Linked DNA regions of Mytilus edulis. The protein of the gene in region 3 interacts with the protein of the main gene of each other region in a pairwise test. Links are inferred from orthologs where the notes say so. Each region holds a gene or a part of one and is shown on either strand. Other genes may lie near its edges.

Region 1 (3,844 bases), on a different chromosome or scaffold from region 3:
TAGTTTATAAGAATGATATGATAACAAAACTTTCTATAAACTATATCAAGCGCAATTAAATCAAAATGATATAGAATTTTACAGGTTTAATAAATCTGCAAATAAATACACTGGTATCCAAAATATATGTAAAATAGTGTAGTACATGTAATTCTCAAGAATAGATAAATATTGAGACAAAACAGCACTTAAATAATAAAATTCAGCAAAATATACTGATTAATGTGATACATGATTTATATTTATGGTCAAGTGGTTAATTAAAAGATTTATATAACAACAATCAGAACATTTAAATCAATATTTGATATCTAGATAAAAGCAGTTTACAAATGTAAACAATGAATATTTCTTAACAAGATAGTGATTTATAACATATTCTAAAAAAAAATATTAACAACATTAACATGATGACTAAAAAGTACATTTTTTCTTTTATCTGCAAGTAAAGTGTGAAATTAAAATTTAATAAAAGCACAGACAAGGTACATTAAAGTGCATTTTTTCAAAGTTTTTTCATGGTCTTTAACTTTTTTGACTAAAAATGTAAAAATAATGTTTTTGTTGACAAAAATCCTGAAAATTTCTGATGAAAATGTTGTTCTTTTTTCTTAAATAATAAAATTCAGTAAAAATGAAATGTAATGCTAATTTAAAAAGATTTATTTAATTGTTTCACCATGTTCACTTAAACTTGTTTTTTTTCATTTTAATAATTTATATGAGTTGATATATGTACATATACAGCATGTACAGCAACATTGAACTTAAACTACACATTATGACTTTAATGACTGCAGGAAATTATCAATCACATTGCTGTAGTTTTACATTATTTTTAACAATTGGTTAAAAGAAATCAAGTTTTCTTTTCTACACCTATTTATTATTTGTATCAACAGCATCCACTCCCTTCTGGTTCGCCCTCTACAACATGGAATGGTTCTTTCGGTGGTCTAGAAAATCCATGTTTTACACCATCCCAACCGTCTTCCACATGTAGTTTGTCATCTTGTATCAATTTATGTATTTCCCGGGCTAATAAAAGAAATGCTTCCTCCACATTCTGTCCATTTCTAGCAGACGTTTCGATATATTTCAGTCCATTACTTTCCGCAAACATTTTACCTTCTCTAGTTGTGACTTGTCGTTCTTCATCTCTATCAGATTTGTGACCCACAATTAAGTATACACCTTTATGTGGTTCAGTCTGATCTTTTGACTCTTTTAACCATTGTGTAATATTCTCAAAGCTTTTTCTTTTAGTTATGTCAAATACAATTAAAATCCCCACTGAATTCCTATAGTAAGATCTTGTAATGGACCTGCAAGTAAACAAAATTATGTCATCATACATCGTATATAATAATATACGTTTTTTATTTGACACTGTTTCCTCTTTTCATATTGGTAAAAAAATATATGTTCTTTAAAGACCTTTAAATACATTTAACATTCCCCAATGAAAACTAGTTTAACTAGGAAACAATGTCATAGCCAACACTAGAACCAATTGCAAGGATTCTTTAATTTATTCCCTTTAAAATTTATGAATGATTTTTAGGGGGATCTTACATTTTTTTATTTCAATTTAAAAAATTCAAATTGAAACCAAGGTCAAGTTTTGTTTCTTATGTATTTTTCATCATTTATATTTAAGTCAAAGTATTTTGTCAAGTAATGTATCTATATACATGATATACATGTACATATAACAGTTCTTTTCTGTGACAAAAAAAAAACAAAACATGAGCAGTTTCACTGACACTGTTGTTTGAAGTTGTGGAACTAAAGCCAAATGCAACTTACTTTGTCAAATTTTACTGAGGTATATTTTCGACATTTTATTTTTGCTTTCCTTTTTTCCTATTTTCAACATTAAATGAGTAATTGTATTCAACATGTTCAAAGGATTTACATTCACAAGGTGTCATTGCACTACTAGATTTAAAATTTGTCACAATAAGTCAGACTTTACAAAATTATAAAATCCAAATGACAGTAATAATACTATCAGTATGGTCATTACACTGTCACATTATAACACAATCCTAATGATCTGAGAAGTTGTGTTTAGATTTCAGAAGCTGTTATATTGTGTTACAAAAGTAAAACAATTAAGATGATTGACAGAGCAACGTCCTGAGGGCCCACTACTCCTGTATTGGCTGTAAAAATTGTCAACAGCATGTGTATCTATGAGAATAGACATGTACATTGACAATTAATCATTGTTAAATATCAAGTTAGTATTAAGTTAAATTAAGATAAGATATAAGAAAATTTATTTTAAGTCGGGTTACATGAAATACTACTGACATTAGCTCTGTAGAGCATTTTGTCGACATGCTTTCTGCAGTGTGTTTGGGTCAATTAATGTATTATGGCCAGTATTTTAATTCTAACCCAATATATTTATGCGCCAACTCTATAAAAAATACATTTATAAAAATATGTTAATTTATATATTATTTAGAAAGATTACTTTTCTCTTTCTTAGAAAAATAAACCAATAAATAATTATTCAGTTATTCAACATCAAAACAATGGCAGTATCCATATGGACCATGTGCACTTCATCACAGTGCAGCCATGATGAATAAATTATTGCATTAATTTACGCATTATGCAACACTAATCTACTACCTTTTTCCTTACTCTTAATTGATAAATTACCTAAATCTTTCCTGTCCAGCTGTGTCCCAAAGCTGTAGTTTTACCCTGACACCAGGATTTACTTCAATCAGACGTGCATAAAAATCAACCCCAACAGTTGGATCACATGCGTCTGAAAATTTTCCATCTGTGAAGTATTTCAACAATGACGATTTACCAACGGTACTGTCACCGATCAGAATAACTCTGAACTGAAAATCAAATATTGGCTCTACCATATTTTCTTACGATTTACTTATCTTTAACAGAATCAAGTTAACATTCTATATTAAGATAAGGTTTGTTTACATTTTTTGATCAGCTTCCGGTTTCTCTTTAAATGACAGATGTTAAATCATGTTTGATTGGTTTACTTCGAGGAAATTACACCAATCAAAACTTACTTTTTATTGAAGGGAATTGAGGCTCCAACTGGGGTCAAACTAAAAGTAGCTAATTATTTAAAATTCGAACTGTATTATAGATTTTATTGTTATATCACCAGTTAACAAGTGAAATTTTAGTAAATATGTAAACTCTTAGACTGCTATCACTGTATTTAGTAGTGACTAGTCTGAGGTAAAATATATAAAAATATAAAAATGAAAGATTAATTTATTTATAAAATCAGATTAATAATTAAAGTAATGATAAAATTAGAGAGAGAGTTTAATTGAACAAAACCTGATAGTTTCAGAACTGCAATTTTGAATTTCTTAACACGTTACTTTATTTTATATATAATAAAATTTAAGAAGTATTGAAATTGTACTTTTTAGAAAAAAAAATACACAACAGATGTAGATTTTTCTTATGTCTGTTTTCAGACCACTCTGACACCTGAATAAATTGATAAAGTAGTGTTTAACACTAATATAAGATTATTTTTCAATATCATTGGCTAACAAAATTTTCTTAAAAATGTTTTTTTTTTGTTGACATTTGATTTCTATCAATGGTCTATTCTTTTTTTCTAACCATTTTTATAATTTCTTAATTTAGGATTACATTTTAAAATATTAATGAACTTCTGCCATTATATGACAGTGAGGGAGAATGATTGTTGGATGGTATTAAGGTTATTTCCATAATTTTATGATCAAGTTGCTATATGCTATAGTATAGTTTAATTTTTGTCTTGAACAGCTATTGGAGTTTCTATTTCCTTAGTATGTATTTAGGTCAATAA
Region 2 (3,844 bases), about 4.8 Mb from region 3:
TACATGTAATGCAGGGCAAGCTCATGTTGATTTGTCACATATATATGTTTTAATGGCATATTTGTCCAATTCTGTATTGTTCCTTCGATATTTGTTCACCTAGATACATAAAATTAACTGAAACTCGAAAATCAATACATTTTCTGAAAATTCAACATGACCTTGCCATGCATTAGATACATGTATAACAGAAGTCATCCATACCAATTTTAAACAAATTAAGTCTTCTCACAGATTTTTTAGAAAATTTAGTGTTCACCTCAAGAATGGGTTTGGCCACCACATAACAATTTCAAGTTTATTTACAATTTACACAGTGTGTATGTGTTAAGTATGTGTTAAGTATGTTTAAATGAACATATGTTTTCCTAGTTTAGGACTTTATTCATTATATATGTACATGTAGGTTGAACAATACAGGCATTGTTTAGATGTTTATTAAGTGTCCTATATTTTGACTTTAGTGGAACCTTAAGCTTAACCACAAGTTCTACAGCATTGGCTTGTAATAATGCTTTCAGGCTTGTAAAATTCTTCTCTACAAGCCAACTACACATGTACAATTTTCAAAAAATTGAGCTTTGGGCTTGAGAACTCAAAAGTTTAAAGTGAAGGTTGACCCAATAAGAATTACATATATAAGCACAAATAACAAGAACAGGACAGACACCCAGTATTTCTACATTTGTAAGTCTCCCATATCAAGCATCACACACGAGACATAAACCATTTAGACTAAGAGATCAGATATTTTGGTATTCCCCAGGAAACACATGTAGAAAGTTAAGGCCTAAAATATACCTCCATTTCCACAATATACTGACAAATTAGGGTAGGAAGCAATAGCATGAACAGTGCTCCAGCTAGAATTCAAAAGGTGCAGGGTGCCAGTGGAGGGCAGGGCACTTTTTTATGATAGAAGGCACTGCTTGTTTCTAATGTTTATGTCCCTGCGTGTATCACGAGTTCACATATTTTTTTACTGTATATATTGTCAATAAAGATGCATAAGTAGGTGTTATTATTTATTCTATAAAATTTGCATAAGAAAAGTCATTCATACTACATGTTCATATACATTTGTAACATGGCAATACACATTCATACTATTAACCAAAAGAGGAAAAATAAACTAACTATTCTCCCCACCCCCTCTCCTTCCAAAAAGAAAGAACATAAACTAAACATCTCATAGTTTACCATAGTTTACCATACATGTACATGACAGAGTAGTTGTATTTCAAAATTTTCATTGCTTGGCCCTCAAAACTTTTTTTATTGTTTGTGTTTAGGAATATAATATTTCGTGTAGCTTCATCATGTTGATTTGTGATGAGAGTTTAACTACACACTTCCATTTTTGTAAGTTGATAGCTTGACACCATTCAAACAATTAATTCATGCATATTTCTTAATTGAGAATGTATAAAACATGGATTGCCAAAAGTACAGTACATGTATGATTATCAAAAATAAATTGCAATATATTTTTTTTTGTATGTTCAAAGACAGTTAGTATCCTTAAGGTAACATTCTTATATAATTTTGTATTCAATTGGTTATTTTTTCCTATTTTTAGTGCTAGATAATATTTTAGGAGCACAATTTTGTAATAAGCTTTTTCAGGGGAAGTAACTCCAAAATTAATTTCCAACATGTTTACGTCTGCTCGTCGCTCACAAGTTGAGATGGACGATGTTTCTGTGAAGGCAAAGTTGATAACTTCAATTCAATTCTAAATTCATGAAAGTCTTCATTCATACACTCTTCGATTGTGACTTGGAGATCAAAAAGAAAATGCAGACACATTCATCATATTTATGACAAAAAGGTACATTAATTTGTCTTAATTAAATTACCTAGTAATTAACACCTTTGAAGTCTTATCCACAATAATTGATTGTAATGACATGATTAACCTCGTTACCTGGGGGCAATCACCAGGTGTCATATATGTAATTTAACTGCTGATAAGAAATCGATGAAACAAAAGGCAATTTTACCAAAACGGCACAAGGGTTTTTCAGAAAACGGCGTCAGGGCAGAAGGGCGCGGCTGAGGGCACACAGGGCGCGGCGCCCTTCTATTTTGGGCTAACGAGACCACTGATGAAGTAAGGAAATAATTTATGGCAAGTCTTAACAGAGGGAGAAATCAGACTACATGTAGAATACAATTGTTTAAACTGGCTGCATTTGTTTGCACCTGTCCTACATTTTGAAGTTGTCAGGAATCTGATGTTCAGTAGTTGTCAGTAGTTGTCGTTTGTTCATGTGGTTCTTAAGTTTTTCTTGTTTTTTTGTATAGATTAGACCATTGTTTTTCCCATTTTAATGGTTATAAACTAGTTATTTTTTGGGCTCATTGTACATGTACATGTAGCTTGCTGTTTGGTGAGCGCCAAGGCTCCATGTTGAAGGCTGTACTTTACCCTTAAATGGTTTACTTTTATAAAATGTGACTTGGAAGTCAAGTTGTCTCATTTGCACTCATACCACATCTTCTTATATCTAAACAATGTTGTACCTGCTTTAGAATGACAATAATAGTCTTTAACTTTAAGGTATGCACAAAAATGCAAAGATCTATCAAACCCCTCTGTTGACATAAGCATAGAAGGACACAAAAGGGGGTGTTTAAAATAGAAGTCTTGCTGCAAAAAATAAGTTTAAGGCAAGATAGCGAAAAGTATTTTCTATTGAGTATTGGGCCATAGCTCATTTAAACTTACCTGCAGCTTCACCAAGAAAAGCCAACTTAAACTTCAATAACGAGCTCCTGACATAATTATTGTTAGAGATATCCATTGCTTTCTGAGCAAAACTCATTTTAATACAATAATAAGGATGTTCAAATGGATTAAAAGGTCTAAGAACTTTTATCTTGTGTTATATCCTGTTTGTAATTGTTAATTTATGTGTCATTAAATGTGGTCTATAGTCCTAAAATATATGCTATATCATAAGCTCCATGCTGGCAGGTGATTGCCTATGATGAAATTTTATTTCTAGCACTTATAGTAATATTAGTTGCAATTTGTTCATCTAATTATCTTGAATTTATGTCGTGTGTCTGCATTAGTCAATACATTCCAAACAAAACTAGTGCATGCAATTTGCTTTTCCAAATACAATTTCAGTGAACGGTTAGGTCGCCAATTGTATGGAAATTAATATTAAATGAAAAATAATTTATTATTACAAGTGATGACTCAATGTGTGCATGACATGATTGGTTCACAACGAAGTCAAATAGGTAAACACGACCACTTCCGTTACCTCGTCATCGGAACTTACCACTTTGTTCACCTAGAAAAACTAATTTAAACTTCCTCAGCGGGTTCCCGAATTCCCCAGAGGAACTCATTGTGATATCTGATTCCTATGTAGAAATATAAAAGTTAATTTGTAGGTGTGAGTCGAGACTGTACGTTATTATTTAGCTGTCTTCTTTCAACTCGCCACGTTCCGAGTCTTCATAAATTACAGACATGCGTGTTCACACCGGAAATGTCAAATATTTCGTTCTGAAGGAAAGTGTTGCTTTTATTTTTAAACGACAACATATTCGGTCTTCTTCAACATTCCCTTTGTTGATTATTTTTTCTGTTAGTTCATCAATGTAAAATAACGAAAAATAGTCTGGATGCGTAAGTTTCAACATGAAAGTAATTTTTTGGTCTAGTTTCAAAAATAATTTTTTGAAATCAATATATCGAAAAGTTCCGACATAAGCCGGCGGCACCAGTCTGAGGTACATCAACTAGTTTACTAATTTGAGCAAACAGTTCTATCTATTTATTTGAATTATTTGTTCAACTGGGTGCACTTAAAAAAACATAATG
Region 3 (3,600 bases):
ACTCAGGTACACAGTTTAAAAACCAATTATTGTCAGGTATCTATTGTCCATCTAATGTCCATGTCAATTAAAAATGCTCACTTTAATTTTTACCTGTGGGGAAGTTCTCAAACCTGTTTCCCAACTTAGTTTATTTTGGCACCTTCTGGAGGAATGAAAAAAAGTGCACGGCAAGATCCTGGCAAGTTTTTATTTTTCCAAAACATAAAGCATACTTAAAATTCATTTATCTAGGGCATGTTATGCCTGAAATTTGTTACAGATGTGCAGGTTTATCTGTACTCAGAGTAAATTTTGAGGTAAAAATACGGCCATTTTAGCCATACTATGGCTATGGCCCATAGGGTCCACATGAACCTTTATGTGCATGCAGTAGTCTCTTGAATGAGTCAAGACTTTTTGCAGCGGACACCGAGTCAGGTAAGGTGTTCCAATCTCTGATCGTGTGTGGATAGATTGACCCTTTTCTGTTGCTGGTTTTGCAAGATGGTATTTCGAAAGAGTGAACGTTAGCATGGTTAGTGTGTCTTGATAGTGAGATCTGATAAGTTATGAATGCAAGTGTTTACTCAGAAGTGCGGTGGGTATTATGTTTGTCTAAAGCCTCAGTTTTTTCTATTGCTAGATCATTAATAAACACTGTATATATACAAAGTACAAGGAGACATACAATAAATTTTACAGTTTCTTCTTTCACGTGTTGTGTGTAATTTAAACCGGAAGTAATGTTCGGAATTTATTTGTTTACTTCCGCTTTTGTAAGAAACAGCTGTTTATTGAATATTTACATCCTTTGGAATAGTATTGTTTTGAATATCATTGCTCACTTTCGCAAGAACTAGGTTTCATATCAAATGTTACTGTCAAAAAAATCTTTTAAGCTGAAATAAAATAATGCCAACACACTTCCGGTAACGTTCGGACAGTTTTAGGAGTTTTCATCTAAAACTTTAAAATTAAAATCTGTCACCAGAAAAAGCTACGGTAAACCAAATATTGATACAGCATGGCTGTAAAACACTCACATTGAGAATAATGTACACTACTCATTGTTATGTCATAAAAAAAAAAAAACTGTTTTCAATGAACCTAACAACAACAAAAAAGGAAACTTTATTTTTTCTATGCACCGATGCAATGTAACGTATTATTCCAGCTTTCGGGTCGATCCGGCCCCACGTCGATCCGGCCCAAGTCGATCCGTCCCACGTCGATCCGGCCCCAATAAAAAAAAATTATTTCTAAGGAATAAAAATAAATATATATTAATTGTAATTCATAAATGTTTATTATTTTTATTATAATGTTAAAGGAGGGGGGATAGGAGGGGTCTTGATCCCGAAATCCCGGGCTTAAAAACACGAAATCCCGAGGTCCCGAATATAAATAAAGTTAAATCCCGGATCCCGAAATTTGAAAAAAAGAATTCCCGGATCCTGAAGGGGTAAATCCCGAAATCCCGAGCTTAAAAACACCCGATCCCGGAGTCCCGATAAAGGTCCTATCCCCCCTCTTAAAGGTGTACGGTAATAATAGTAAAAAAGGCCTTTGAAAAATATTTTCTTTAGATGAGTATAAAACAACTAGGTTGATTATGTCTTTATTACAAGTTTTCAAGATTATTGAGTATAATTATATTAATTAAAACAGTGAATTCAGACATCAACATTAATCAGCAGTAATTAGCATTTTCTTTCAATTGACTGTGATCCTAACAAGTCTTTCATCTTGTGTAACATATAATAACAAATAGTTACATACATGAACGGTATAAGCCGATCCCCAAGCTGATATATAAACTTTGTTTTTCTTTTTAAGTTCTTAAAATTTCTAAAATTGAGAAATGTTGTTTGATTTGCCGTATCCTTTCTATAAAAGAGTGCTGATATTATATTTTAGAGAGTGAAAACGTGCTTTCAATGTCATTGTTTTGTTGTTTTCTTGCAATAAAGAATAATGGATACTCATATGACTTTTTTTTTTTATCTACACACTATTCAAAATATTGTCAAAATAAGAAAAATATATTGACTATATCCGATGTTACAAAAAAAAGTGTTATAGAATAGAATATTTTTATATGTTATAGAAGCCTATGATGTAACCTGGAAAAAAATACAAATAATTACACCAACCAGAAGATCAAACTATAAAGACCTTGTTGAAAAACAGATTACGTAACTTTAATTAATCAGCATTGGATTGAATTAAGTGATTACGAGTGGCATTACCTTAGTTCACAATCATCAGACAACTGTTGAATAAACAAACCAATTATAGACTAATGATTTGATTAAATAAGTCATTATTATGCGATAAATTTTATAGGTCCATTGGACTGTAAATATTCATTTAGCTATTCTGTGTGTGAACTGAATAAAATAAAAATTGCCATGAAATTCAAAGTAAAAGTTATCATGGTAAATAACTTCATAATTTAAAAATGTAGAAACTGCGATACAAACAGACACAATAACACTAATTTTCGTATGGATTTAAAATAGTTCGTTAACTGGTACTCCAATACTTCACTGACCTGTTGTCATCCATCATCGATCGGACACTTTTTTCAAATTCCATTTATACTGTTAAAGTATGTGACAAATTCCTCCATAATCTAGTTAATTCATATTTTATTATGGGCCGGATCGACTTGGGGACGGATCGACGTGGGCCGGATCAACTTGGGCCGGATCGACTTTGGACCGGATTGACTTGGGGCCGGAACGACCGGATACCTTATTCCACTGCATGTTGATTTTGATAGCGGAATCAACATTTGATTGGTTAAAACTATCACATGTGACGTCGAACAAAACTTCATATTCCCCTCTGAACGTCGGGATTGCTTTGTGCGACGTTACCCATGTTACCCGTGGTTTATGTTTAAATAAAACATTTTGATACGTTTTGTTTTAAAAATTATTTCAAATCTTAAAAACAATTACAAAAGAATAAATAAATAATTAACTTTTAATCGGTACTGATTATTATAGGCCAAGTTCACCTGAAACTCTCGAGTTACTTTATTAACTCGGGTTTCAACAAAACCATTTTACTCAATCCACTCAAGTTAACCCCTTGTACCCTGGTTCCAACCCTCACCGAGCCAGGGTTAAACTTGAGAAACTCTTGAATGATGTCAAACCAATGAGAATAAGTGGCGTAGCATGCCCTGTTATAGTATACGTACTGAGGCAGGGGGACTGGGGGGCGCAGGCCCCCATAAGCTATACAGGTTTTACCATTTGAAAAACGAAAAAATCCCATCAAAGTTATAGTAGTTTTTACTTTATTCAACATAATAATGCTAAATATGTTCAAACAATATAAATTGAAAACCTAAGAGATATCAATCATGGTGCATGAAGAATGGTATCATTAATGTTATTTAACATTTGAAACTATAGACATGATGGACATGATAGATATCTGAAATAATTTTTTAATTTATATTATTTTCTATCTATCATAGAAAGTTTAAATCATTGAAAGACCATTCTTATATAATACTTCGTTTGCTTTGTATTTTATAAAGAATATCTACCAAGCTACATTATTTTAATGAGTGTAATTGAAAACATGATAAAACAAGGGGAG

Evidence for each region.
Region 1: the proteins of GRIP and coiled-coil domain-containing protein 1-like (region 3) and ras-related protein Rab-39B-like interact in a two-hybrid assay, tested with the Drosophila melanogaster proteins (2 studies listed by BioGRID). The link is inferred for Mytilus edulis from reciprocal best matches to the Drosophila melanogaster genes GCC88 and Rab39.
Region 2: the proteins of GRIP and coiled-coil domain-containing protein 1-like (region 3) and ras-related protein Rab-6A interact in a two-hybrid assay, tested with the Drosophila melanogaster proteins (2 studies listed by BioGRID). The link is inferred for Mytilus edulis from reciprocal best matches to the Drosophila melanogaster genes GCC88 and Rab6.

Annotation. Positions count from the first base shown.
Region 1 is NC_092353.1:38,939,484-38,943,327, forward strand, and holds the start of ras-related protein Rab-39B-like, read right to left. Parts: upstream 3,001-3,844; 5' UTR 2,895-3,000; coding exon 2,677-2,894; intron 1,326-2,676; coding exon 896-1,325; 3' UTR 1-895.
Region 2 is NC_092346.1:48,057,695-48,061,538, forward strand, and holds the start of ras-related protein Rab-6A, read right to left. Parts: upstream 2,899-3,844; 5' UTR 2,829-2,898; coding exon 2,732-2,828; intron 1-2,731. UniProt on the Drosophila melanogaster protein: Protein transport. Regulator of membrane traffic from the Golgi apparatus towards the endoplasmic reticulum (ER). Mediates membrane trafficking during egg chamber growth and organization, possibly upstream of exocyst component Sec5.
Region 3 is NC_092346.1:43,249,294-43,252,893, forward strand, and holds the start of GRIP and coiled-coil domain-containing protein 1-like, read left to right. Parts: upstream 1-882; 5' UTR 883-984; intron 985-3,600. Other genes in the region: ESF1 homolog, read right to left, coding at 828-849.